Linked DNA regions of Anolis sagrei. The protein of the gene in region 4 interacts with the protein of the main gene of each other region in a pairwise test. Links are inferred from orthologs where the notes say so. Each region holds a gene or a part of one and is shown on either strand. Other genes may lie near its edges.

What was found.
Region 1: the proteins of MAX (region 4) and UNC45A interact in binary tests that used the Homo sapiens proteins (3 or more experiments, as listed by UniProt). The two-hybrid records come from large-scale screens. The link is inferred for Anolis sagrei from reciprocal best matches to the Homo sapiens genes MAX and UNC45A.
Region 2: the proteins of MAX (region 4) and MXI1 interact in binary tests that used the Homo sapiens proteins (3 or more experiments, as listed by UniProt). The link is inferred for Anolis sagrei from reciprocal best matches to the Homo sapiens genes MAX and MXI1.
Region 3: the proteins of MAX (region 4) and PLEKHF2 interact in binary tests that used the Homo sapiens proteins (3 or more experiments, as listed by UniProt). The two-hybrid records come from large-scale screens. The link is inferred for Anolis sagrei from reciprocal best matches to the Homo sapiens genes MAX and PLEKHF2.

What each region holds. Positions count from the first base shown.
Region 1 is NC_090029.1:22,659,875-22,667,141, reverse strand, and holds the start of UNC45A (protein unc-45 homolog A), read right to left. Parts: upstream 3,017-7,267; 5' UTR 2,954-3,016; coding exon 2,765-2,953; intron 2,670-2,764; coding exon 2,633-2,669; intron 880-2,632; coding exon 704-879; intron 488-703; coding exon 395-487; intron 1-394.
Region 2 is NC_090023.1:210,017,255-210,024,703, reverse strand, and holds the start of MXI1 (max-interacting protein 1), read left to right. Parts: upstream 1-4,433; 5' UTR 4,434-4,598; coding exon 4,599-4,905; intron 4,906-7,449. UniProt on the Homo sapiens protein: Transcriptional repressor. MXI1 binds with MAX to form a sequence-specific DNA-binding protein complex which recognizes the core sequence 5'-CAC[GA]TG-3'. MXI1 thus antagonizes MYC transcriptional activity by competing for MAX.
Region 3 is NC_090024.1:33,460,239-33,468,011, forward strand, and holds the start of PLEKHF2 (pleckstrin homology domain-containing family F member 2), read right to left. Parts: upstream 3,014-7,773; 5' UTR 2,890-3,013; intron 1-2,889. UniProt on the Homo sapiens protein: May play a role in early endosome fusion upstream of RAB5, hence regulating receptor trafficking and fluid-phase transport. Enhances cellular sensitivity to TNF-induced apoptosis.
Region 4 is NC_090021.1:232,298,974-232,306,029, reverse strand, and holds the start of MAX (protein max), read left to right. Parts: upstream 1-4,052; 5' UTR 4,053-4,331; coding exon 4,332-4,367; intron 4,368-7,056. UniProt on the Homo sapiens protein: Transcription regulator. Forms a sequence-specific DNA-binding protein complex with MYC or MAD which recognizes the core sequence 5'-CAC[GA]TG-3'. The MYC:MAX complex is a transcriptional activator, whereas the MAD:MAX complex is a repressor.

The DNA.
Region 1 (7,267 bases), on a different chromosome or scaffold from region 4:
CAGGTGCTATCTCTCTCCAGCCTTGAAACTGGTACGGGAGAACTCTGCTGTTGTCAGCAATTCTCAGTAACAGCTGATGGAATCCATGACAAGAGCAGAGAACAGCATTAGCTGGGCTTCTCCAGAACCAAAACAGAGAAACAAGAAAGAGCAGAGATTTCCCCCTTGGGGAACCCCAGCCATGATGCTTCTGTCATCACAGTGCAACGAAACTATGCGTAATTAAGTATCTACCTTAAGCCGACTAAGGGGCATATCCTTCTAGTGCTGCATGTTGAGTCCTTGCACAATACCCTCTAATTCTAGCTGTTGCACAGGTCTGCACTAGCACAGCCCCACCCTCTTCTCCATGAGGCAATGCCTCGTGCCCCTCCCTTCCCCACAGAAGAGCCACCTTTTGTTTCTTGTCCAGATCCTTCTCTTCGTTGTCAAGCAGCAACTTGAACATCTGTTCCACTTTGGAGTCGGTGCAGGACATGTTTCTCATCTGAGACAAAGTGAATAGAGGCGCTTGGCTTCCTCTGTCCGGCTTCAAGCCTCTCTAGGGACTGTGGGGAAGGAGGCCAGCCCCAATTTGGGGAGTCCCTGCACCTTGGGCAAGGCCAGGGAGGGCTGGCTGTGGAGAGGGACTCCTTTGGGGCCACAGGGTGTTGCTTGTTTCCTGCAGCAGCAGCCACCACCTTGTTCACCCGCCCACTCCTACCTTCTCCTGCATGCTGCTGCCAAGGCTGCGCAGGGCCTCCTGGAAGGCCTTGTTCCGGGGCTCCAGGCTGATGCAGCGCTGCAGGTCCTGGATGGCCTGGTCTGGGCGGCCCAGCTGCTGGAGGGCCTGGCTGCGGCGGAAGAGGCTCTTAACATCCCGCCCATCCACTTTGAGGGCTAGAGAAATGGAAAGAATTGCAGAATAACAGAATCAGGGGATCCCGCGGGTCATCTATTCTCAATAATAATAGCCATAGTAATAATGAATATGGATAGTTCAGTGGTTCTCAATCTATGGGTCCCCAGATGTTTTGGCCTTCAACTCCCAGAAACTCTAACTGCTGGTAAACTGGCTGGGATTTCTGGGAGTTGTAGGCCAAAACACCTGGGGATCTACAGGTTTGTTTTTTTTTCTTGGGGTTGTCAGAAGCAACTTGAGAAACTACAAGACGCCTCTGGTGTGAGAGAATTGGCCGTCTGCAAGGACATTGCCCAGGGGACACCCAGATGTTTTGATGTTTTTACCATTCTTGTGGGAGGCTTCTCTCATGTCCCCACATGAGGAGCTGGAGCTGATAGAGGGAGCTCATCTGCGCTCTCCCAGGATTCGAACCTGTGACCTCTCGGTCTTCAGTCCTGCCAGCACATGGGTTTAACCAACTGTGCCACCGGGGGCTCTTTACCTAAAGGTTGAGAACCACTGGTGTAGTTGGAAGAAGTCCAAAACACTTGGAGGGCCCAAGGTAGTCCAGGCCTTGTTTAGACATCCCTTTCTGAAAGTCCTCCCCAGTTGCACATTCGAGGCAAATTGGAACTCGCTTTCCCAGCAGCACTTCGTGCTACACAAGTATTGAAGGAGCCTTGTGTTCCCTCCCGGGGCATGATGGGAGTTGAACGTTTTCCCTGTGTGTGTTTCTCATTTTCTTTCTCCGCCAATCAGAGGTCTGGCTTAAGCAGCTGAGGGGGAAAAAGAAAGGGCCTGAGGCTGTTAGGAATTGTGGGAGTTAGAGTCCAAAACACTTGGAGGGAGGGCTGATGCTTGCCCATGCCTGGACTACATGGCATTTGGGGCCCCCTCCTAACTTTGCTTCCGCTTCCCTGCAGCGAGGTCCTGGCAGATGAGTCGGTGGCCTGCCTGAGCCAGGCCTTGAGGCACCTGCATGACATCTGGGAGGAGATCGGCATCTCCGAGGAGCAGCGCCTGGAGCGCACCCAGGTGGTCCGGAAGCACGTCAAGGTGGGCAGAGCCAAGCGGATGGGGAATCAAATAATTGCAAATGGCATGGATACTTATTGGATGATAGGCTACAGGGTGATATCATTGAAAGGAGAACCACATACACTCACGGATCTGGTAAGGACCATGAGCCTATGTATGTATGAAGAGAGATATTGACAAGCTGGAATGTGTCCAGAGGAGGAGGACTGAAATGCTCAAGGGTCTGGAGAACAAGCCCTATGAGGAGCGGCTTAAAGAGATGGGCATGTTTAGCCTGAAGAAGAGAAGGCTGAGAGGAGACATGATAGCCCTGTATAAATATGTGAGAGGAAGTCATAGGGAGGAGGGAGCAAGCTTGTTTTCTGCTGCCCTGAAGACTAGGATGTGGAATAATGGCTTCAAACTACAAGAAAAGAGATTCCATCTGAACACGAGAAATAACTTCCTGACTGTGGGAGCCATTCAGCAGTGGAACTCTCTGCTCCGGAGCGTGATGGAGGCTCTTTCTTTGGAAGCTTTGAAACAGAGGCTGGATGGCCATCTGTCGGGGATGCTTTGAATGCAATATTCCTGCTTCTTGGCAGAATGGGGTTGGACTGGATGGCCCATGAGGTCCCTTCCGACTCTATGATTCTACGTTGGCCCATGCCTGAACTATAGAATCCTAGAGCCATTGCCCCACCCGGCCAGCCAGCCTCTTGGGCTCCTTACCTTCGGAGGCATCCAGCTCGGCTTGGGCATAGTCCTCCTGCGAGAGAAAGGGGGAGAGAGAGGGTGAGGAGGCAGGCCCCGCTTAAGGCCCCGTCTCCCCCACTCTGCGCCCTCCCCATTTCGGGCCCTGACCAGCTTGAGCGCGCAGGCGGCACGGTTCCGGTGTAAGAGGCCCTTCTCGGCGCGTTCCTCCAGGCTGCAGAGGCCGAGGGCGCGGGTGTACACGGCCAGGGCCTCCTCGAAGCGCCCAGCCTGGTAGAGCACATTCCCTTCGCGGCGAAGCTCCGAAGAGGCAGTGGAAGCCTCAGCTGTCTCCGCCATGGCGCGCTCAGGTGACGTCAGGGTAGACCGCCCTGATGTCTTACCTTGTCGCCTTCCACTCTCACGTCACTTCCGGTCTGGAGTAGGGCGCAGCAGCGGATGCGGAAGAAAAGTTGTCTGGCGCGGGCTTGGAGGCGGAAGCGGAAGTTGCGTCGGGTGTGACAGAAGTGGAGCCCGTCGAGGGCCATGAGCGCCAGGAGGAGGACGCCGTAGAGCCCCGCCGCCAGCGCTGGGGGAGCAGGGAGGGCCCTTCCGCTAAGGAAGAAAGGGAAGGAGAGGCCTTAGTCAGGCGGAGCGGAAGAAGGGAGGACCCATTGTATTGTCGAAGGCTTTCATGGCTGGAATCACTCGGTTCTTGTGGTTTTTTTCGGACTATAGGGCCATGTTCTAGAGGCATTTCTCCTGACGTTTCGCCTGCATCTATGGCAAGCATCCTCAGAGGTAGTGAGGTCTGTTGGAAATAGGAAAATGGGTTTATATATCTGTGGAATGGCTGGGGTGGGGCAAGGAGCTCTTCCCTGCTGGAGCTAGGTGTGAGTGTTTCAACTGACCACCTGTTTGGGTATCAGCCAGCACGCCAACGACTTAAATCTAGACATAGTTTTCTAAGATCTACAGAGACACTCGCTAGAAGACCTCAGCAAGCGAGAGTCCAAAAGTGGCAGGCTCAAACCCAGAACCTCAACCAATGGCTGATACCAAATGAGAGACTCGCTCCTGGGCATACAGAAGACTGGGTGACTTGGAAGGCATTAAACAGACTGCACTCTGGCACCACGAGATGCAGAGCCAACCTTCAGAAATGGGGCTACAAAGTAGAATCCTCGACATGCGAGTGTGGAAAAGAGCAAACCACTGACCACCTGCTGCAATGCAACCCGAGCCCTGCCACATGCACAATGGAGGACCTTCTTGCAGCAACACTGGAAGCACTCCAAGTGGCCAGATACTGGTCAAAGGACATTTAACCAGCTACCAAACTCACAAGTTGTGTATTTTTCTGTTAGTTTGCTTTGTCCTGTTAGAAGTGTAATATAATGGACTGGCTGCTCTGACACGGCAAATAAATAACTGACCACCTTCATTAGCATTTGAAGGCCTGGCTGAGCCTGAGAAAATCTTTTGTTGAGAGGTGTTAAGATGTGCCTGGTTGTTTCCTCTCTGCTGTTTTGCTGCTGTAATTTTAGAGTTTTTAAATACTGGTAGCCAGATTTTGTTCATTTTCATGGTCTCTTCCTTTCTGTTGAAATTGTCCACATGCTTGTGGATTTCAATGGCTTCTCTGTGTAGCCTGACATGGTGGTTGTTAGAATGGTCCAGCATTTCTGTGTTCTCAAATAATATGCTGTGCCCAGGCTGGTTCATCAGGTGCTCTGCTATGGCTGACTTCTCTGGTTGAAGTAGTCTGCAGTGCTTTTCCTTGATTCATGTTTGGGCAATGCTGCGTTTGGTGGTCCCTATGTAGACTTGTCCACAGCTGCATGGTATACGGTAGACTCCTGCTGAAGTGAGAGGATCCCTCTTGTCCTTTGCTGAACGTAGCATTTGTTGGATTTTCTTGGTGGGTTTGTAGATTGTTTGTATGTTGTGTTTACCCATTACTCTGTACCCATTACTCTGGCCTGGCCCAGTTTTATTGTGTCTTAGTGTATTGTTTATTGCTTGTTGTTTATATTGCTTTAATTGTTTTGAATTTGCCTTTGGTTTGTATTGTTGTATTGTTTGTTGAGGCCTTGGCCTTTGTAAGCCGCATCGAGTCCTTCGGGAGATGAAAGCGGGGTACAAATAAAGTTTAATAATAATAATAATAAAAGGGAGAGGCAGCCCCGACTCTCCTCCTCACTCACCGGAAGAAGAACCTCCCTGAGCGGTTGGCAGCCCCTTCCTCTTCCTCCTCCTCTTTGGGATCCGGGCGCGCACAGCAGGAGCGGAAGCGGAGAGGAGCCCCCACATCCTGGGTCCCCCGGCAACAGAAGGCGTGTCCTGGGGGGTCGGAGAGGCGCGGGCAGAAGAAGGCGGCGTGGGGGCGGCCCTCGGGATCCTGGAAGGACTCGCACAGGCTCCCCTCCTGGGCCCCCACTGAAGGAAGGGAGGGAGAAGGAAGAAGGTTGGGAAGGAAGACATGCACAATGGGTGACGCTTGGCTTCACAACAGTCCCTGCGAAATCACTGGGTTGTTGTAGGTTTTTCCGGGCTATATGGCCATGTTCTAGAGGCATTCTCTCCTGACGTTTCGCCTGCATCTATGGCAAGCATCTTCCAGAGGATGCTTGCCATAGAAGTCTTCATGGACCGCAAGTTGAACATGAGCCAATAGTGTGATGCAGCATTTTAAACACACAATGAGATTTTGGACTGCGTCAAAGGAGTTATAGAATCAGAGAGTTAGAAGAGACCTCATGGGCCATCCAGTCCAACCCCATTCTTCCAAGAAAAAGGAATATTGCATTCAAATCACCCCTGACAGATGGCCATCCAGCCTCTGCTTAAAAGCTTCCAAAGAAGGATCCTCCACCACACTCCAGGGCAGAGAGAACAGCTCTCACAGTCAGGAAGTTCTTCCTCATGTTCAGATGGAGTCTCCTCTCTTGTAGTTTGAAGCCATTGTTCCGCGTCCTAGTCTCCAAGGAAGCAGAAAACAAGCTTGCTCCATCCTCCCTGAGGCTTCCTCTCACATATTTATACATGGCTATCATATCTCCTCTCATATCTCCTTCTCTTCTTCAGGCTAAACATGCCCAGCTCCTTAAGCCGCTCCTCATTGGGCTTGTTCTCCAGACCTTTGACCATTTTAGTCGCCCTCCTCTGGACACATTCCAGTTTGTCAATATCTCTCTTGAATTGTGGTGCCCAGAATTAGGTGTGGTTAGGTGTGGTCTAACCAAAGCGGAATAGAGCATGGGGAGCATGACTTCCCTAGATCTAGACACTATGCTCCTATTGATGCAGACGAAATCCCATTGGCTTTTTTGCCGCCACATCACATTGTTGGCTCATGTTTAACGTGCTGTCCACGAGGATTCCAAGTTGTTTTTCACATGTACTGCTCTCAAGCCAGGCATTGTCCCCCATTCTGTATCTTTGCATTTCATTTTTTCTGCCTAAGTGGAGTATCTTGCATTTGTCCCTGTTGAACTTCATTTTGTTAGTTTTGGCCCATCTCTCTAATCTGTCAAGATCGTTTTGAATCCTGCTCCTGTCCTCTGGAGTATTGGCTATACCTCCCAATTTGGTGTCTAGTGTCTAGATCAGGCATGGACAAAGGACCAGGCTGTAGTGCAGCTAGATATTAGCCAGCTGCTTCAAATCGCTACTGACTGAGAGGTCACGAGTTCAAAGCCAGCCCAGGTCAGAGTAGTAGTAGAAATAATAATAACACTTTCTTTATATTCGGCTCTTCTCACCTCGAAGGGGACTCAAGGCGGATCACAGTACACATACATGGCAAACATTCAATGCCGCTTTGTATAGACCAGGGGTTCTCAAACTTTTTAAACAGAGGGCCAAGTCACAGTCCCTCAAACTGTTGGAGGGCCGGATTATAATTTGGAAAAAATATGAATAAATTCCTGTGCACACTACACATACCTTATTTGTAGTGCAAAAATACTTAAAACAATACAATAATTAAAATGAAGAACAGTTTTAACAATTATAAACTTACTAGTATTTTAATGGGAAGTGTGGGCCTGCTTTTGGCTGATGAGATAGGATTGTTGTTGTTGCTGTGTGCTTTCAAGTCGTTTCAGACTTGGGTTGACCCTGAGCGAGGGCCAGGTAAATGACCTTGGAGGGCCGTATCTGCCCCCAGGCCTTAGTTTGAGGACCCCTGGTATAGACAATACACAGAACAGAAGAAGGTGCCATGGAAGGTTGGGCTCAAGTCCAGGGGGTGCTGTTGCTCATTCCTCTATGACTTCCTCCTTCCTTTTGGTCGCCCAGTATTTTCTGATCTTTTTTCTTTATGGCGTCATATTTACCTATTTATCCGTACTTAATTTCTCTAATCACAGCTAAAGCTGTTTTCGAATTGCTTAGGTAAACAATGAGCTAGGTTGACAGTTGGCAGCTCACACCAACCCAGGGTTTTGAACTTGCAACCTTTTGATTGATAGATCTTATAATTGCTGACTTACCAGCTGTGCTAGACCTCCAGCCCAACTATAAGCTCCCAACTATTAATTGTCTAGCTTGCTGTCAACAATAGCTCCCAACTATTAATAGTCTAGCCAGTAGACTGTTAGGAATTGTGGGAATTGAAGTCCAAAACACTTGTGGGCCCCAAATTTGCCCAGGCATGGTCTAGATCGAGGG
Region 2 (7,449 bases), on a different chromosome or scaffold from region 4:
GGGAGGTATTTTACAGCACCATAAAATAAATACCAGAAAAATGCCAGCAATCGAAAGGAAGAAGTCTGTGATCAAGGCTCTTTGTTATAGAGGATGGAGCAACAGCGCCCCCTGTGGCTGGAATTGAGCAAAACCTCCAGGACAACAAAGATGGGAAAATTGTCAACATAAAACATACCTCTATCTGTTGTCTGTCCTATCTGTTTAACGGCATTGAATGTTTGCCATGTATGTGTTCTGTGATCTGCCTTGAGTTCCCTTCAGGGTGAGAAGGGCGGAATATAAATGCTGTAAGTAAGTAAGTAAATAAATAAATAGACTTTGGCTCAAAAGGAAGCAATATGGCAACAGCTTAACTGCATACAGTGGGCCCATACTATTGGTTGGAGTTTAGTTCCAGAACAACCCATAGATACCAAAATCTATAGATGCTCAAGTTTTCCTCTTCCTCTTCCTCTTCCTCCTCCTCCTCCTCTTCCTCCTCCTCCTCCTCCAAGCCTTCATCAAGGCTTGAGGCAGGATACAATAATACATAGATTAATATAATAAGATCATTAAAACACATGTATTAAAAGACAGGGACCCATGATTAAAATATAAGCCAGGGATGACTGAATCTGTGAATGGCTGAATCCACGGACACAAAAGGCCAACTGCAAATGGGTTCTGAAGTGCAGTGCTTTATTATCTTTTAAAAAATAATAGTTTGAGTGGCCTTCACAAATGATACAATATCTACTTAATCTTGATAGAAAAAGAAAGAGGGAGACAAGGGGGGAAAGGAAAAATGCAAAAAAAATCTTTCAATTCTATGCTGCTTTTTACACAGAGAGAGACAGAGAAAAAGGGTGCATTTACAATATGGAAGGAATGCTGCTTGCCACCACTTTAACTGAGGCAGATCGGTAGAGTCCTGGGAGTTGTAGATTTACAAGATCATTAGCCTCCTCTGCCAAAGAGTACTGGTGCCTCATGAATCCACAACTCCCAGAATCCCACAACATTGAGCCATGACAGTTCAGGTGGTGTCAAACTACATTCATTCTATGGTGTAGATCCACCCAATATTGACACATTCCTTCGACCGAGAAACTTACAGTCCATATTCAACAGCCCTGGCCCAATTTACCTGTCCGAATGCATCTCCCTCTATGAACCACCACAGAGATTAAGATCTTCTGGGGAAGCCCTGCTCTCAGTCCCACCACCATCACAGGCGCATTTGGCGAGGACAAGAGACAGGGCCTTCTCAGTAATTGCCCCTCAGCTATGGAACCCCCTTCCTAATGAGATCAGGTCAGCCCTCTCCCTCTTGTCCTTTAGAAGGATGATAAAAACGTGGCTGTGGGACCGAGCCTTTGGGACTGTGCAATGAGGCAGCGATAGGAACCCTTAGTATGCCAACCATATTCCATATGGTTGTTGAGACAGTTTTGACTAGTGGATGTTAACATCAAGATAAGTGATTTTAATGCTTTTGTATGTGTATGGTCTAATATGTTTCAGCATTGTATGTTTGCCATTTATATTTTGTGCTCCACCCTGAGTCCCCTTCGGGGTGAGAAGGGCTGAATATAAATGCTTTAAATAAATAAATAAAGCAGAGAAATGCCTTGCTATGTCAAGTTGAGTGAAAGAATGGCCAGATAGACAAATAGATGAAAAAGAAAATGTGTGTATGAGAGATTTGGGGATAGATAGATGGATAGATGAGAGAGAGAGAGAGAGAATGGGATAGATAAATAGATGAAAGAAGCAGGGAGGTGTGTGTGTATGAGAGAGAGATGGGAATAGATAGACTAATAGTTGAGAGAGAGAATAGCCAGATAGACAAATAAATGAGAGAGAGAGAGAGAGAGGTGTATGAGAGATAGATGGGAATAGAGGGATAGAGGGATAGATAGATAGATAGATAGATAGATAGATAGATAGATAGAGAATGGGATAGATTGTCAAATAGATAAGAGTGAGAGAAGTGTGTTTGAGAGAGGGGGGGATAGATGAAACAGAGAGTGTGTGTATGAGAGAGTTGGCAATTGATAGATGGAAGAGAGAGAGAGAATTGGATAGATAAGTAGATGAAAGAAGGGGGAGGTGTGTGTGTGTATGTATGAGAGAGAGATGGGAATAGATTGACTAATAGCTGAGAGAGAGAATGGCCAGATAGACAAATAGATGAAAGAGAGAGAGGGGTGTGTGTGTATATGAGAGACAGATGGGAATAGACGGATAGATGAGAGAGAAAGAGAGAGAGAGAGAGAGGATTGAATAGATTATTAAATAGATAAAAGTGAAGTGTGTTTGAGAGAGAGATGGGAATAGATAAAAGAGAGTGTGTGTGGGAGAGTTGGGGATACATAGATGAGAGAGAGAGAGAGAGAGAGAGAGAGAGAGAGAATGGGATGGATAGATAAATAGATGAAAGGGGGGAGGAGGTGTGTGTGTATGAGAAAGAGATGGGAATAGATAGACTAATAGTTGAGAGAGAGAATGGCCAGATAAACAAATAGATGAAAGAGAGGTAGGTGTGTGTGTGTGTATGAGAGAGATGGGAATAGACAGGTAGATGAGAGATAGAAAGAGAATGGGACAGATTGTCAAATACATAAAAGAGAGAAAAGTGTGTTTGAGAGAGAGATGAAGATAGATTAAAGAGAGTGTGTGTATGAGAGAGTTGGGGATAGATAGATGGAAGACAGAGAGAATGGGATAGATAAACAGATGAAAGAAGGGGGGGGGGTGTATGAGAGAGAGATGGGAATAGATTTACTATTACAGTGGTTCTCAACCTGTGGGTCCCCAGGTGTTTTGGCCTACAACTCCCAGAAATCCCAGCCAGTGTACCAGCTGTTAGGATTTCTGGGAGTTGAAGGCTAAAAACATCTGGGGACCCCAGGTTGAGAACCACGGGACTATTAGTTGAGAGAGAGAATGGCCAGATAGACAAATTGATGAGAGAGATGAGTGTGTGTGTGTGTGAGAGAGATGGGAATAGATAGACTAATAGTTGAGAGAATGGCCAGAGAGAGAGAAATAGATGAAAGAGAGAGAGAGAGAGAGAGAGAGGTGTGTGAGAGAGACAGATGGGAATAGACAGATAGATGAGAGAGGGAGAGAGAGGGGGGGGGGATAGATAAAGAGACGAAAGAAGGGGGAGGTGTGTGTGTGTATGAGAGAGAGATGGGATTGACTATTACAGTGGTTCTCAACCTGTGGATCCCCACGTGTTTTGGCCTACAACTCCCAGAAATCCCAGCCAGTTTACCAGCTGTTAGGATTTTTGGGAGTTGAAGGCAAAAAATATCTGGGGACCCACAGGTTGGGAAACCACTGGACTATTAGTTGAGAGAGAGAATGACCAGATAGACAAATTGATGAAAGAGAGAGAGAGAGAGAGAGAGAGGTAAGAGAGAGAGACAGATGGGAATAGACCAGTGGTTCTCAACCTTCCTAATGCCGTGACCCCTTAATACAGTCCCTCATGTTGTGGTGACCCCCAACCATAATATTGTTTTCGTTGCTACTTCATAACAGTCATTTTACCACTGTTATAAATCATGTAAATATCAGATATGCAAGATGTATTTTCATTCACTGGACCAAACTGGGCACAAATACCCAATGCAACCACATGTAAATGCTAGTGGGGTTAGGGGAGGATTGATTTTGTAATTTGGGAGTTGTAGTTGCTGGGATTTATAGTTCACCTATAATCAAAGAGCATTCTGAACTCCACCAGCGATGGATTTGAACCTAATTTGCCACACAGAACTCCCATGACCAATGGAAAACACTGGAAGGGTTTGGTTTGTATTGACCTTGAGTTTGGGAGTTGTAGGTCACCTATATCCAGAGAGCACTGTGGATCTGGACCAAACTTGGCACAAATACTCAATATGCGCAAATGTGAACACTGGTGGAGCTTGGGGAAAATAGACCTTGACTTTTGGGAGTTGTAGCTGCTGGGATTTATAGTTCATTACAATCAAAGAACATTCTGAACTCCACCAACGATAGAATTGGCTCAAACTTCCCATATGGAATCCCCATGACCACCAGAAAATACTGTGTTTTCTGATGGTCTTTGGCGACCTCTCTGACATCCTTCGCGACCCCCTCAGGGGTCCCGACCCCTAGGCTGAGAAACACTGGAATAGAGGGATATGAGAGAGAGAGAGAGAGATTGTCAAATGCATAAAAGAGAGAAGTGTGTTTGACAGAGAGATGGGGATAGACGAAAGAGAGTGTGTATGAGAATAGATAGATGGATAGATGAGAGAGAGAATGGGATAGGTAGACCAATAGATGAAAGAGAGAGGTGTATGTGTGTGAGAGAGAGAGACTAGATAGACCTACGGATAGCCGCGCGAAAGGGAAACCCAGCTCGCACTAGGACCTGCGGGGAGTCTTTGAATGAAGAGGTCCCTTGATTCATTCAATCTCTCCTAGACATATACACACTGGCTGGCTCGCTGGCTGGCTCACACAGGCAGGCGCGCGCACGCACGCAAGCACACACACACACAAACTGCAACAAGAGGAGGAAAGTCGGCCAAAAGGGCTTTAGAAACCCCAAAGTTTCCACCCGCAGGAGCGACATGGGGAAACGTGGCAGGCCGAGGAAGGAGCTGCGGGGCGAGGGGGCTGCTGCTGCTGCTGCTGCGGTGGTGGTGGTTGCGGGGCATCCTCCTCCTCTTCCTCTTCCTCCTCCTGCGCCCCAGGCTCCGGGTCTGCCTTCGGGGTCGGAGGCGCTGCCCAGGTGGCCCTTGAGTGACATCTTCAACCACCCCAGCAGCGAGGAGGAGGAGAAGGACTCCATGGAGCGGATCAACACTTTCCTCCAGAATGTGCAGATCCTGCTGGAGGCAGCCAGCTACCTGGAGCAGATCGAGAAGGAAAACAAAAGTAAGTGGAGTTGGGCTTGGGCTCCTGCTCCTCCCTGCCTGCCTGCCTGCCTGCTGCTGCTGCTTCTTAGAGGAGGACAAAAAATAACAATAACAAGTGATAAAGGTGGAAAATCAGTCAGAACATCACTCTATCCAGTGACAACAGGAGGTGGAAATATGAAAATATGCAACAAGACTGAACCAATTGAGCCAGATTAAACTGTGGCTAGTTTCAGGTCCAGCAGAAAGAAAGAATGCACTGGGCTGCTGTAAGTTTTCCGGGCTGTATGGCCATGTTCCAGAAGCATTCTCTCCGGACGTTTCGCCTGCATCTGTGGCAGGCTATGCCTGCCACAGATGCAGGCGAAACGTCAGGAGAGAATGCTTCTGGAACATGGCCATACAGCCCGGAAAACTTACAGCAACCTAGTGATTCCGGCCATGAAAGCCTTCGACAACACAAAGAATGCACCATTTAAAGAAGGGGGGAAGGGAGAGTGAGAATGATCCATTTAGGGAAACCTCTCTTGGAAACAAAAACACCCTCTTCCCCTTTTTTTTCTCTCTCCATGTCTTCATAGGATTTTTATGACATGTTTTGCTCTTCAAAGGAGGCACTTAATATGTCAAGAAATGCCAGGAAACTGACCAAACTAGGCAACGGGAGGGGGGGGGGATCTGGAGCAGGGAATGCAAAACAAACTTTATGACTCTTTGCAAAGGGAAATCCAATATATATATTTAAAGGAAGGGAGGAAAAAAGGCTTGTTTATATTGGTCAACTCGCCTCCCCCTCCCTTTGCGAGCTTAAGAGGAGAAAATCCAGTGAAATGGAACAAAAGGGGGGACGAGATAGACAGGCACGGATAGGATCTCCCCCTTTTGCCCCCCTTTGTGGGGGGAAATCTTAGCCAAATATTGCTCTCTCCCCTTTCTTTTTTTTCTCCTCCCCCCTTCCTTTTTTTTGGCTCATGTTGCCGTCAGCGAAAAAGAATAATCCGCCGAGAATGGCTCGTTTTGCAGCGTCTGTCGAGAACAATAACAAGCCGGGACTCAGTGGATGCAGCCAGTTTAATCACCCCGAAGGTCAGGAGGAAAAAGAGAAAAGGAAGAAGGGAAGGCAGAAAAGAAAGAAAGAAAGACAGGCCCTTACAGTGGTTCTAATTGTTCCATAGGGGGGTCCTTATTTTTTTTTTAAAGAGCCCCTCTTCTGTCCCCCCCCCCCCCCAAATCCAAGCATTTTCCCAGCCTATTTTATAAAGCATCTCACTTCCTTGGTCTTTAACTTCATTGTTTACATGCTTCAAACTGTGTTTTGGTATCTCAGGTTGAAAAGCTGGGAAATGGGATCATGATAGAAAGAAAAATAAGGATTCCCCCTTCTGTCTCCCTCTCCTTCTCTCCCCCCCCCCCCCCCAAGAAAAGCCAGGTATCATCTTAACCTGGTCTGTTTATTTCAATATCTAACTTCCTTGGTCTTTAACTTCATTGTTTGCATGCTTCAGACTGTGTTTTGGTTTCTTAGGTTGAAATGGGATCATTATAGGAAGAAAAATAAGGATTCCCCTTTCTGTCTCCCTTCCTCCTCCCTCTAAGAAAGCCAGGTATTATCTTAACCTGGTCTGTTTATTTCAACATCTAACTTCCTTGGTTTTCAACTTCATTGTTTGCATGCTTCAGATTGTTTTTGTTTCTATCTCCTTGGGTTTAGAAGAATAGAAAGGGGTTCCGTATAGGAAAAAGCAAGGCTCCCCCTTCTGTTTCGCTCCCCAGCGCAGATTTTTTCCATTGCAGTCCAACTCCGCTGCTTCGCCTTTGTTGCTGGCTTGCCTTCTTTTATTTATTTATTTATTTATATTTCCATGAAGAAGTGGCTCGCTCTGGGTATTGTTTGCGGGTGGATGGTATGGAGCGCAAGGCCAAGACTTCAATAAAGGTGGTTTTATTTTTAAGTCTTCCTCCTCCTTTCTCTCATTTGAGTTTTTGCAAGGGGGCAAAGCAAGGCCTGGCTGGCATCAAGGGGTGGATGTGGAGAAGGCAGGCTTGCTGGTCCAGCCAGTTCTTTGCCCCAACCAGACTTTTTGTTTTGTTTTTTAAGGGTGACTTTTGGTGTGTACCTTCCTCCTCCCTTAAGGAAGAGAAGCCAAGTGAATGGAGGACAGGTTTATCTTCAGCACCACCACCCTGTTCCTTTATTTCCTTATTAAGTCAGTCACGTAGGCAAAGGAGTCATCGCCAGGTAGACCAGGGAGCCAGTGGAAGGAAAGAGAAGCCAGTTGTTGTTGTTAGGTTTCTGGCTTCTTTTCTAGAGGACTTGGCCAGAGTAGGGCTAATCAGGTTAAACTGGTCACCTCATTTCATTCAAGTAGGTGATGTAGTGGCAATAGATATATACATATCTGGGTCAGCCTTGCAGTTGTCCTCCTCTCACTACTCTTTCTCCTTCTCTTCTCTTTCTCTATGTTTCTCTTCCCCGTCATTCTCTCTATTTCCCCTTCTCATTGTGTCTTTCTTTCTCTCGCTCCCCCTTCTCTGTCTTTCTCTCTCTTATCTCCCCTCCTCT
Region 3 (7,773 bases), on a different chromosome or scaffold from region 4:
GTGCAAATGTCAAGAGAAATTGTGGAAGTGAAGTTTCAAACCCTCGCGCGCACACACACACACACACACACACTGTATTATGAAGCTCCTCCTCTTCGGTTTTGTACACAATTTGAACAGGAGTAAGCTTCCAATAGTAAGCGAGGTGTGGCAAAATGGCAAGATATTGTGAAAGTGAAGGTTGCAATTCCTTCTTAAACACACACACACATATATACACACATGCACATATTATATATGCACACATATGAATCTCCTCCTTTTCAGTTTTGTACACAACCTTGACAGGAATAAAGCTTGCCAATAGTAAGCAAAGTGTGATGCATGTATGTGTGTGTATATATGTGTGTGTGTGTGTGTGACTGTGCATATTTGTGTGTAAATGAATCCTGTTCTCTACAGTTTTGTACACAACGTTGACAGGAATACAACTTCCCCGTAGTAAGCAAGGTGTGGCAAAATGGCAAGAGAAATTGCAGAAGTGAAGTTCGCAATCTCTTCTTTTCTCTCTCTCTCTCTATATATATAAAAAAATTATATACACAGAGGGACATCATATATGCACACATATGAATCTCCTCTTCAGTTTTCTACACAACTTTGACAAGGATAAAGCTTCCAGTAGTAAGCAAGGTATGGCAAAATGGCAAGAGAAAGTGCAAAGGTGAAGTTTGCAATCCTTTCTTCAATATATATATATATATATATATATATATAATACACACAAACACAGACATTATATATGCACACATATGAATCTCCGCTTCAGTTTTGTACACAACTCTGACAGGAATAAAGCTTCCCAATAGTAAGCAAAGCGTGATGCATGCATGTGTGTGTGTGTGTGTGTGTGTGTGTGTGTGTGTGTGTGTATATATATATATATATATATATGGGAGAGACTGTGCATATTTGTGTGTAAATGCATCCGTTCTCTATAGTTTTGTACACAACACTGACAGGAACACAACTTCCCAGTAGTAAGCAAAGTGATGCATGTGTGTGTGATTCTCTCTGTATGTGTGTATGTGTAAATGAATCCCCTTTTCTTCAGTTTTGTACACAATTTTGACAGGAATAACACTTCCAGTAGTAAGCAAAAAGATTCATTTCTGTGTGTGTGTGTGTGTGTGTGTGTGATTCTCTCTATATGTGTGTATGTATTCAGTTTTGTACACAACCTTGACAGGAATAAAGCTTCCAGTAGTAAGCAAAGTGTGGCAAAATGGCAAAAGAAAGTGCAAAAGTGAAGTTTGCAATCCTCTATTCTCTCTCTCCCTCTCTATCTATCTATCTATCTATCTATCTATCTATCTATCTATCTATCTATCTATAAATTATACACACAAACACAGAGACATTATTTATGTACACATATGAATCTCCGCTTCAGTTTTGTACACAACATTGACAGGAATAAAGCTTCCCAATAGTAAGCAAAGCATGATGCATGTATGTGTGTATATGTGTGTGTGTGTGTGTGTGTGACTGTGCATATTTGTGAGTATGCGAATCCCGTTCTCTACAGTTTTGTACACAACTTTGACAGGAATACAACTTCCCAATAGTAAGCAAAGTGATGCATTTGTGTGTGTGTGTGTATGTGTGTGTGTGATTCTCTCTATGTGTAAATGAATCCCCTTTTCTTCAGTTTTGTACACAACTTTGACAGGAATAAAGCTTCCAGTAGTAAGCAAAGTGTGGCAAAATGGCAAAGGAAAGTGCAAAAGTGAAGTTTGCAATCCTTTATTCTACATAAACAGAGACATTATTTATGTTTTGTACACAACCTTGACAGGAACACAACTTCCCAGTAGTAAGCAAAGTGATGCATTTGTGTGTGTGATTCTCTCTCTGTGTGTATGTGTAAATGAATCCCCTTTTCTTCAGTTTTGTCCACAACCTTGACAGGAATAATGCTTCCAGTAGTAAGCAAAGTGATGCATTTGTGTGTGTGTGTGATTCTCTCTCTGTGTGTATGTGTAAATGAATCCCCTTTTCTTCAGTTTTGTCCACAACCTTGACAGGAATAACGCTTCCAGTAGTAAGCAAAGTGATGCATTTGTGTGTGTGTGTGATTCTCTCTGTATGTGTGTATGTGTAAACGAATCCCCTTTCCTTCAGTTTTGTACACAACTCTGACAGGAACACAACTTCCCAGTAGTAAGCAAAGTGATTCATTTGCGTGTGTGTGATTCTCTCTCTGTATGTATGTGTAAATGAATCCCCTTTTCTTCAGTTTTGTACACAACATTGACAGGAACACAACTTCCCAGTAGTAAGCAAAGTGATGCATTTGTATGTGTGTGTGTGATTCTCTCTGTATGTGTGTATGTGTAAATGAATCCCCTTTTCTTCAGTTTTGTACACAACTTTGACAGAAATAACACTTCCAGTAGTAAGCAAGGTGTGGCAAAATGGCAAGAGAAATTGTGAAAGTGAAGTTTGCAATCCTTTCTTCAACACACACACACATTACATATATACACACAACTATCCGAATGCCTACTTGCTGGGGCTGTGCCTATTTGGGGGGGGGGGGGCATCCATCCCCTGAGGGCCAGGAGTTTCCCTCCCTCCCTCCTCAGTTTGTCACACTTTGGGAAACACACGCGGAAGTGGGCAAGAGTTCGGCCAAATTGTCGTCCAAGCAGCCGGCCCTCGACGGGCACGAAAGGAGCCGAGAGACCCGTCCTCCCCCCCCCCCCCCCGGGCCTCGCTTTCTCCTTTCTCCCCTCCCCTCCTCACGGGAAGAGATCCCCCGAGTGGCGGGATCCCATCCCAACATGGCCGCGGGTTCCCCGAGGAGGAGCGCGAGGCAAAGTTTCTCCTTCCTTCCCTCACTCCCTCTTCCCTCCCCAAAAAAAGCGGCGCCGAGAGGTTGCTTACGGAGAAGCCGATGGGCGCCCTCCTGCCCGGCTCCCTTTCCTCTCCTCTCGCTCCGTCGACGGCTGCTGCTACTGCTGGAAGTCCTGCTGCCCCGCCCGGAGAGGGAGAGAGAGAGGAGGAGGAGGAGGCGCCATCATCCCGCCCCAGGGAGAAGGAGGAGGAGGGGCCGCCGCCATCTTGGGAGGGAGGGAGGTAGGCCGCCCCCACGGTTTTCACCCTCAGAGCTCCTCTTTGGACGCCTCTACACCAGGCCTGAGCAAACTTGGGCCCTCTCTTCAGCTGTTTTGGACTCTCAACTCCCTCCATTCCTATTTATTTATTTATTTGCCTCATTTATTTCTTTATTTTCGACATTTATACGCCGCCCTTCTCACCCCGAAGGGGACTCACGGCAGCTTACAAGTTATATGTACCTATAATCTTCTCTATACAATCAGGCACTTCAATTCACTCTCAACAAGAGATTCCCCCCAGGCGCTTCCAGGCCATTGAATACAAATCAAGGTGCTCGTGATCCCACCAGCGTCGCAAGCGCGCTTGGTGGGGACGCGGGACAGGGCCTTTTCCGTGGTGGCCCCCCCCGACTCTGGAACACCCTCCCCAAAGACCTTAGACAGGCTCCTACATTGGCTGTCTTCAGAAAGAACTTGAAGACCTGGCTTTTCCAATGCACCTTCCCAGATTAGGAAATCTCCACTACCAAGTCCCATAAGCACTTTATCAGAACCAATGATTGCTGCACATCGCACATCGCACTTGCCCTGGAAGCCCTATATACACCTCCTGTCACATCAGCACTTTTAATCTTGTACCCATTGCTCTGGCCCGGCCCAGTTTTATTGTGTTTAGTGTATTGTGCCTGTTGTTTATTTTGCTTTATTCTGTTTTTAATTGTTTGATTTGCTTAGATTGTATTGTTGTGTTGTGTGTTGAGGCCTCGGCCTGTGTAAGCCACATCGAATCCTTCGGGAGATGCTATTTGAGAACACAGAAGTGCTGGACCACTCTCACAACCACCATGTCAGACTACACAGAGAAGCCTTTGATATCCACAAGCATGTGGACAATTTCAACAGAAATTGTCCACATGCTTGTACAAATAAAGTTTAATAATAATAATAATAATCAGCTGAAACATTACCCTGGTCATTCCACAGATATATAAACCCATTTTTCCTACTACCAACAGACCCCACTACCTCTGAGGATGCTTGCCATAGATGCAGGCGAAACGTCAGGAGAAAAATTGCCTCCAGAACATGGCCATATAGCCCAGAAAAACCTATAACAACCCAGTGATCCCGGCCATGAAAGCCTTCGACAATACAATCTTCTATATAAATAAAAATGTAATGTTCGTTTGTAAGATTAACATAACTCAAAAACCACTGGGCGAATTGACACCAAATTTGGACACAAGACACCTAACAACCCAATGTATGGCCTTCACTCAAAACTTTCTGATTTTGTCATTTGGGAGTTGTAGTTCTTGGGATTTATAGTTCACCTACAATCAAAGAGCATTCTGAACTCCACCAATGATGGAATTGGACCAAAGGTGACACACAGGACTCCCATGACCAACAGAAAAGACTAGAATGATTTGGTGGACATTGACCTTGAGTTTGGGAGTTGTAGTTCACCTACATCCAGAGAGCAGGTTCGAATCCGGGGAGAGGTGCATGAGCTCCCTCTATTAGCTCCAGCTCCTCTTGCGGGGATATGAGAGAAGGCTCCCACAAGGATGATAAAACATCAAAAATCATCCAGGCGTCCCCTGGGCAAGTCCTTGCCGACGGCCAATTCTCTCACAACAGGAGCGGTTGCTCCTAACACGACAAAAAAAATCCAGAGAGCACTGTGGACTCAAACAATGATGGATCTGAACCAAACTTGGCACAAGCACTCAATACGCCCAAATATGAGCACAGGTGGATTTGGGAAAAATAGACCTTGACATTTGGAAGTTGTAGTCACTGGGATTCACAGTTCACCTACAATCTAAGAGCATTCTGAACCCCACAAACAACAGATTTGGGGCTAACTTCCCGCACACAACCCCCATGACAACAGAAAATACTTAAGGCGATCCAATCCAACTCCCTTCATCAGGGCAAGAAAAGGTAATCAAAGTCCTCCTGACAAAGAGCCATCCAGGAATAGAGATAGATAGATAGATAGATAGATAGATAGATAGATAGATAGATAGATATGATTCACACACAGAGAGATATAGTATCATAGATTTGAAAGGGACCCCTAAAGAAGGACAGTTATAGTTGCATGTTTCAAAGTGGGCAAACCTGACACTCTTGACATCAACACTGACAAAGAAACAGCAAGAAATACTGTTAACCCACAAGCATAAAGAAATTACATATATTAGAAACCAACACTTTCTCATTACTTTATTTTCCAGATCACAGACTGAGCCACAGCAATGCGTGGCAGGGGACAGCTAGTAAGTTATATGTACCTACAATCTTCTATATAAATAAAAATGTAATGTTCGTTTGTGGAATTAACAAAACTCAAAAACCACTGGATGAATTGAGACCAAATTTGGACACAAGACACCTAACAACCCAATGTATGGCCTTCACTCAAAAAAAATTGTGTGTGTTGCAGTAGTCTATCTTTGATGTAACAAGAGCATGGCCAAGTCAGACTTCCCAAGGTACGGGTGCAACAAGTTTTAATTGTGCAAAAGCACCTCTGGCCACTGCCAAGTCCTGGAATTCCAGGCTCAACAATGAATCCAGGAAAACTCCCAAGCTACAAACCTTGGGCCTGAGGCTGTTAGGAATGGTGGGAGTCCGGAGTCCAAAACATCTAGCGGGAGGGCCCAAGTTTGCATTGAGCTACAGGTAACTATAAACAGCCTGTTAGCACTGAATGCTGTGTCATGGCTGCTAAACTTGAATTTTGACTTTCTTTTCCAATTGAATGTCCTCTATTTCTGTTCTTTGGACAGAATATTGTTCCTTCTGTTGCCAAAACAGAACCCAAGTACTGGAGAGCAAGCTGAGTGAGCAAGGTTTGGTGAGTGGCAAAGGGCCCTTTCACACAGCCCTATATCCCAGAATATAGGGCAAAAAAATCCCACAATATCTGCTTTGAACTGGGTTATCTGAGCCACCCTCACCCTCTGAGGATGCCTGCCATAGATGCAGGCGAAACGTCAGGAGAAATGCCTCTAGAACATGGCCATATAGCCCGAAAAAATCCACAAGAACTGAGTGTAAATTGATTGTTAATAGAGGGCCCTTCCACACAGCCTTTTAAACCAGTATCTGATCCCAGATTATCTGCTTTAAGATTAAATATATGAGTCCCCACTGCCAGATAACCTGGGATAAACAGATAATCTGGGATCAGATCCTGGGATAAAGGGGCAGTGTGGAAGGGCCCAGAGTTAGGGAGAAAATAGCTAATGGTACTAGGAAGCATCTGATAGATTTAATCTCCTTCCCCACTACCATCCTCTTCTCCTTTTGTGTCTTGTCCTATTTGTGGTAGATTGCCAGGAAAATTTTGTAAGTTGCTCTGAGACACTGGGGGCCCTTCCACACACCCATGTAACCCATAATATCAAGGCAGAAGATCCCACAACATCTGCTTTGAACTGGGTTATCTGAGTCCACACTGCCATATATTCTAGTTTAAAGCAGAAAATTGAATGTTATTCAGCTGTGTGAAAGGGCCCTTTGTGGTTGAAGAAGAGGATATAAATACTGGATGAATAGATTTAGATAAACAAAGAGATCCATAGCATGACAAATGGCCAACTAACTGGAATAGCCAGCAGAAATATTGTGCCTTTTCATTAGGTCCCAGTGTTTGAATTGTCCCTGTAGCACCCACAAACACACATCACACAGCCAGCAACCACAATGACAAGCCACACACGCGGAGTATGCCTTCAACCTCAAACCACTTTCAACTCATTCAGAACCAGAGCGGCATACTGCCATATATGGACTGCTCACAGAATACATCTCTAATAACAGTACATTTTAAGAATACAGATTTTTGGAGATGACTGTGTTGGGTTTGACACGTGAATAATACAGCCATTATTTCTTTAAGTGTTGGTGAACAGCAGTATCTCTTTAATCATTCTTTTAGACTTTATGGCATTGAACCTGAGCAAGGCTTCCTTTATTTCCATGCGACCAATCATTTAGACATGCTCCCTTCAGTGCGTCCAATCCCATTTACACGTCTCAGTTGAGCCCCTTATAAACACATATCACTTCCCTTTGGCCTTTTCCCTAAAATGGTTGTAAAGTTCATCCTTGAGAAATGCACATTCCTGTCTCCTCGTGTATAGTTTATTTAAAAGTCTGTTTCTTTGACAAATGTGCAGTTTCATACTATAGTATACATTTACCTTTTTTTTACGATGGTTATAAACAGTAGTTATGATGTTTATCACCACTGTGTTCCTTGTCAATATATCAAGTTGTTTCAAAAATTGCATTTTTGCTTTTTTTTTTTTGCTTCTGTTAAAATGCACCCTTGCATTGTGTCAAGACAGTATTTTTATGCAAGGCAATCTATTTCATAAGAAACATCAATGCTTAACTTTCCAGCTTAATATCTGACTAAACCAGATGTCATCATGAGTATTATTAACAAGCTCGGTTCTCCAAGTGTTTTTCCTTATGTAACCAAAACGTCACCATCCAAGTATAAGAGTAAGGTGGCAGTTTGCTTGGGAGAAAGCCAAAGTTTGCAAAGGTAGAAAAATATTTAGAAGTGGCAAATAGAGGACCTAAAGGAGCAAAAAGAAATCCCAAAAGAGTATAATTAAAACCGAGCGTGAAATGGTGGGTGATGGGATAAAAAACAGGAAGTGAGGAAAATGAAATAAAGTAAGTG
Region 4 (7,056 bases):
GCCCTCCCAACACAGAGCCACCCAGCTCCAGATGAGATTCTGGAGATCGTTGACCAATATCAGTGTTCAGAAAACTCTGGTTTTCCAGTGCTGCCATTCCTATGCTTAAATATGGGATTCTAGAAATGGTTAATATACAGTATACGAGAGTGTTCCCAACTTTTGTCTTCCAGGTGTTTTGGATTTCAAATATTTATTTATTTATCGTGTCATCAGCAACCATTGTTTTACAATTCTAACAGAGCAAAACAAACACAGAGATTAAAATGAAAAAGAAAAGAAAAAAGAAAAAAAAACCACACAGATTTTGTAAATTTGGTATTTGGTTAAATGTCCTTTGACCAGTATCAAATATGTTTTGGTGCTTAATTTGTAAAATCATAATGTAATTTGACACTTAATAAGCTTTTGCTTGATCCCTCCATATTATCCAACATTTTCGCTTATCCAACGTTCTGCCGGTCCGTTTATGTTGGATAAGTGAGACTCTACTGTATATCAAATACCATCTGGTCCAATCCATCAAACACTGTTTTGTTTGATCTGTCTTAAATCTGTCTTAAATTTTTGCCTGTGTGAGTTCTTTAGCTTGACATTTTGCATATCTAAAGAAGGTAATGCCCTGTTTATTGCCCTGCTTCTCTCCTTAGGATTCAGTTTGATGAATGTTTTCTTTGTTCTGTTTATGTGAGCCTTTTCCTGTGTATGTGTGCGAGTTTCTCATGGCTAAATTCTTCTAACATTGAAGAAACTGAGTTTATTTATCTAGCCCTTTTTTTCTATACTAAGTGCAAGGACCAGGCTGTGGCACAGCTAGTTAGTAGCCAGCTGCATTAAATCACTACTGAATGAGAAGTCATGAGGTCGAAGCCAGCCTGGGTCAGAGTAAGCTCCCGACCATTAATAGTCTAGCTTGTTGTTGACCAATGTAGCCTAAAAGACAGTTGCATCTGTCAAGTAGGAAATTTGGGTACTGCTTTATGAGGGGAGGCTAATTCAACTAATTTACGATGCCATAAAATCTTCCAGCAGTGTGCAGAATAATGAGGAAGTACTTCATCAAAGGACTCAGTGTCACAAGTGGACGGTGAAGTGGCAGCTCCCCTGTGGCTGGAACCGAGCATACCCTCATGAAGCCAGAAAAGCTGGAAATGTTAAATTGCCTCTGTGTCTGTCTATTTATGTTTATTATTATTATTATTATTATTATTATTATTATTATTATTATTAAACTTTATTTATACCCCTCCACCATCTCCCCAATGGGGACTCGGTCCAGCTTACATGAGGCCAAGCCCAGAAATGCATTACAACAAAATAAAGCCAAAAACAAACAAACAAACAAACAAACATCACAATAAAACAAATAAAACATAAAAATACAATAAAATAATACAAAAATACAGTAATAGATAAATCACAATCACAGTGAGTGGGCCATATGTACAAGTTAAAATGATAAAAACTCAGGATGAGATAGAAATTAAATGCAAATAATTGTGAAGGAGAAACTCATTGGAAAATGGAGTAATGGAGACAGACCTTCAAACAGGCAGGGGGAAGTACAGTGTGGGGACAGACATTATGGGGGAGCAAACAAAAGGAGATGTAGGGTCACTCTCCAAAAGCGCAGCAGAAAAGCCAGGTTTTGAGATCCTTCTTGAAGGCTGCCTAATCTTACCCAGAGTAGTGGGGCCACGGAGGAGATGGCTCTCTCCGTCATTCCCATAAGCCAGGCCTGTGAGAGAGGAAGGGCGAAAGGAGGGCCTCTCCCGAAGATCAAAGAGAGCGGGCTGGTTTGTGGAAGGAGGTAGGTGGGTTCCAAACTGTTTAGGGCTTTATAGGTGATCACCTGTACCTTAAATTGGGACCGGAAAATAAACGGCAGCCAATGGAGCTCCTTAATGGCATTAGAATCATAGAGTTGGAAGAGACCTCATGGGCTATGGTCCAACCCCCTGCCAAAAAGCAGGAAAACTGCATTCAAAGCACCCCTGACAGATGGCCATCCAGCCTGTTTAAAAGCCTCCAAATAAGGAGCCTCCACCACACTCCAGGGCAGAGAGTTCCACTGCTGAACGGCTCTCACAGGAAGTTCTTCCTCATGTTCAGATGGAATCTCCTCTCTTGCAGTTTGAAGCCATTGTTCCATGTCCTAGTCTCCAGGGAAGCAGAAAACAAGCTTGCTCCCTCCTCCCTGTGACTTCCTCTCACATATTTATACATGGCTATCATATCTCCTCTCAGCCTTCTCTTCTTCAGGCTAAACATGCCCAGCTCTTTAAGCCGCTCCTCACAGGGCTTGTTCCTCAGAACCTTGATCATTTTAGTCGCCCTCCTCTGGACACATTCCAGCTTGTCAATATCTCCCTTCAATTGTGGTGCCCAGAATTGGACACAATATTCCAGGTGTGGTCTAACCAAGGCAGAACAGGAGCATAGTGTCTAGATCCAGGGAAGTCATGATACACCCCTTAGCATGACTTCCCTGGATCTAGACACTATGCTCCTATTGATGCAGGCCAAAATCCCATTGGCATTGGATGTTTGCCATGTATATGTGCATTGCATTCCATCTTGAGTCCCCTGTGGGGTGAGAAGGATGAAATATAAATACTGTAAATAAATAAATATACTATTGCTATTTATTAATCAAATTAAATTAGATTCAAATGAGGTCCTCGTCCTTGTCCCCTTCACTCAGGCCCGTAGCCAGGATTTCGATTCGGGGGGGGGGGGGGCTGAGTTTGTTTCGGGGGGGGGGCTGAGTCTGAGTGAAAGAGGGTCTACCCTAGCAAACCTTTTGTATAGTTACTCCAATACCCCCATGCATATGGGATATATTGAGCATGGTGATCAGATCATGATATGAATAAACATAACAGTTTAAATAATGCACGAGTAAGGCCTTTTCGCGAACCACCATGAGAATTTCGGGGAGGGGGGGTGTGAAGCCCCTCAAGCCCTGGCTACATGCCTGCCTTCACTACAACTCTCATGATTTCAATGGATTGATCCATAGCAATTAAATTGGAGTGAAACTACACTTCTTCCACTGTGTAGACCAGGGGTCCTCAAACTAAGGCCAGGGGCCAGATACAGCCCTCCAAGGTCATTTACCCGGCACTGGCTTAGGGTCAACCTAAGTCTGAAATGACTTGAAAGCACACAACAACACCAATCCTATCTCATCAGCCAAAAGCAGGTCCACACTTCCCGATGAAATACTAATAAGTTTATATTTGTTAAAATTGTTCTTCATTTTAATTATTGTATTGTTTTTTAAGTGTTTTTTGTATTACAAATAAGATATGTGCAGTGTGCATAGGAAAGCATGAATGCTTTTTTCAAATTATAATCCAGCAGCTTGAGGGACTGTGACCTGGACCTCTGTTTAAAAAGTTTGAGGACCCCTACTGTAAATAAATATACTATTGATTAATCAAATTAATCAATTGATTAATTGATTAATCAAATTAATTGAGGTTCAAATGAAATCCTCGTCCTTGTCCCCTTCACTACAATTCTCATGTTTTCAATGGATGGAGCCATAGCAATTAAATTGGGAGTGAAACTACGCTTATTCCACTGTGTAGACGCTCCTCAAGTGGTTTCTAAACGTGACACGTCGTGCTGTGTTGTTGTTTGTGCCCCTTATTCTCTTTGACTACAAACAGCCAGGGTCGGGTTACATAATCGGCACAGCTTCCTTCCCTCTTCGAATCTCTCTCCTGGCTCTTTAAAAGAACGAGAAAAACACCGTCCAGAAGCGAAAGGGGGGAGGTGGTTAAAAGCGTCCCCTTCCGGCTTCCATCCACGTGTCCTCTTCCTCAGCCTGCCGGGAAGCAGAGCCCTTCCTCTTTCGCTCAGGAACTCCGTTTCCTATCAGCGACCGCTGAGCCAAGGCGCATGCGCGCGCGGCGGCATCCAACGCCCGCCCCCGCCCAAGAGGCTCTCGGGAAGGGTAGTTCAGAGCGGCGTGCTCTCGCGGGCGCTGTGCTGGCGGAAGGACTTCATCCCCCGGCATGCTTTGCTGAGTCGTTGGATGTATCTGTGGTAAAAGAAGGGAGAAAAAAAGAGGGGGGGCATTCGTCACGTGCGGCGCGAGGTGCGTGTTCCGTTGATGCTGGTGAGGGAAGAGGAGGAGACGACGACGACGACGGAGGAAGAGGAAGGAGGAGGAGAAGAGACGGCGACGCTGTTGCTGCCAGGGGCCTGTTGTCGTCGCCGACGCCGTCGCTGTCGCTGCTCCTCTCCGCGGCGGCTCGGCCCAGCAAGGCCCCGGAGGAGACCCCGCCGCCGCCGCCACCACCACCGCCACCGTGGGCAGCATGAGCGACAACGATGACATCGAGGTGGAGAGCGACGTGAGTTTCCACCGTCCCGCAGAGAGGCTGCTGACAGTAGTGGCGCCTCGGCCCCTCTCTCGTTCGCCCTGCCTCACAGCCAAAGGTTCAGTCTGCGCGACGCCTCTCTGCCTTCCCTTCGCTTCAATGGGGCCCCTCAGGAAGGGAGAAGCCCCCCCCCAGTAGGCCCCCCGGGGTGAGGGAGGGAGGGAGGGCCTGCTCGCCCCCGGAAGTAGTAAAGGGGAGGGAGGCGGGGTCAGTTGTGTCTGGGAGGAAGGAGGTTGGAATCGAGGTAGGCCTGGGACGTGTTTGGGTAACTGGTGGGAGAGGGGAGGGGGATGAGGAGGGAAGGAGTTGGGGGGAGTTACGATGGGGAGTTGGGGACAGTGGGCAGCTGGATTCGAAGTCTTGTGCCTTTCTAAATACTCCTAGGATTTGGGATTTTGAGTACATGTTTGGCTAGACGTGGGTGGGATTATGTACAGTGGCATAGTAAGAAAATGGCAAAATAAAGGTTTGAAATTGGAATACTGTTCAGTATGCGTTGGCTGGGGGTGGGTGGGTAAGAGGAAAGGAGATGGGAAGGATGTTGCATTGTGCATTTTGTTTGTGTTTAATTTTTTTAAAAAATTGTTTTATATTGGTCTGGTGTATTATTCTTGGGCTTCTCCTCATGTTACCCACCCCGAGTCCCCATTGGGGAGATGCTGGCAGGTGTAAATAATATTTTATTTATTTATTTATTTGGTAGTTTTGTATACCGGTCTTCTCACCTCCATTCGAGGGACTCGGGGCCATTTCCAACATCAATATTACAGACCGCCATTAAAACATAATATTTCTAAATCACACTAAAACATTAAAATATTGAAACAATTAAAATGACAAAAATACAATCATATGATTACAGTGGTTAGTCGTCATCAAAGTCATTATTCGTCGTCATCCATCCATATCACAGGATCACGGCTCATTCATTGAATGCCAATCCCCAAAGCCAGGTTTTCACCTGTTTCCTGAGTGTTAAGATCGAAGGGGCAGTTCTGATCTCCAGTGGAAGGGAGTTCCAGAGTCAAGGGGCCAACACCGAGAAGGCCCTGTCTCTCGTCCCCACCAGCCGCGCCTGTGAGGCCGGTGGGATCGAGAGCAGTGCCCCTCCAGAAGATCTTAGTAATCTTGATAGCTCATAGGGGAGGATTCGTTCGGACAGGTAAATTGGGCCGTATAAAACTTTTATACCCCAGTCTTCTCAACCTCTACAGAGGGACTTGGGCCGGCTTACAGCATAAATTAGTACACAAATACAATTAAAAACATAATCACATCAAAAAGTTAAATACAACAGAATAAATTCACAAACCAAGTCGCCAAGATAAAATAAAATAAACTTTATTTCTATACCGTCGTATCTCCCCGAGGGGACTCAGGGCGGTTTACAACAGAAGATTGGCAAACATTCAATGCCGGCATAACATAAACAAATCAAATCAAATCATAAACAATAAAATAAACAACATCAGGTGTACTTATAGAACAACTCAAAAATAACAAACTTAGATATTTAAATATATAAATCAAACATTTAGAACATGTTTACTACTAGATCTAATGATAGCAAACACTCAAACATTATAAGTAAAAAAGGCATTTACAAGTCAACAGGGCTGAGGTGGTGTCCAAGTCAGAGTGATTAAGGTGCTGGCCAGGGCTGAGGTGGTGTCCAAGTCAGAGTGATTAAGGTGCTGGCCAAAGAAAACTCTTATTATTAATGAGATGGAGGGGATTGATAAGGGGGGTGGCTCTTCTGGACTCTTGGGCCAGTTCTTAAACACGCTTCTGGAATGAGCTTCGTGTATTCCAAGTAGACTGGAACGTACTTAGTCCAAATCTTTTTGATACTGGTTTTAAACCACTTAATTGGATGTGTTGCAATAGCAGATTTCCAGGTTAGTTTAGTGTTTACACCTTATTTTATTTTCTGGTTATTTAATGTTTATTTTGCTTAAGTGATATTTGTCTTTACTGTTCTAATGTAGCTCAAATCCTATATAAAATCATAGTATGTATTTTTGACATTAATATTGAAATCTGAAATATATACAGAAAGTGTTGTCTCTTTGCAAGTACAGTGGAGTCTTGATTATCCAACCTTCGCTCATCCAAAGTTCTGTATTATCCAATACAGTCTGCCTGTTTCAATACATTGCAATGTTTTGGTGCTAAATTCATAAATACAGTAATTACTACCTAACGTTACCATGTATTAAACTGCTTTTTCTGTCATTTGTTGTAAAACATGATGTTTTGGTGCTTAATTTATAAAATCATAGCACAATTTGATGTTTAATAGGCTTTTTCTTAATCCCTCCATATTATCCAACATTATCCAGTGTTCTGTCATCCCGTTTGTGTTGGATAAGCAGATTCTACGATCCTTTATTTACCAGCTGCTGTCCGTTGAACAATTTGAAGCTTCTTGGTAATTTTTGGGATTTGGTTCCAGGACTCTCATTGATACCAATATCTGTGAATGCTCATATTCCATTATATAGAGTAAGATTGTATTATCGTGGTTCTTAAGTAAAAATACTTTATTTCTAACCTGCCCTCTCTCCTGGGGGGGACAGGACTCAGGGTGGTTAGTAACAAAAATGGCAGACATTCACTGCCTAAAACAGACAAACAACAAGTCAAGACAAAAATAATAAAT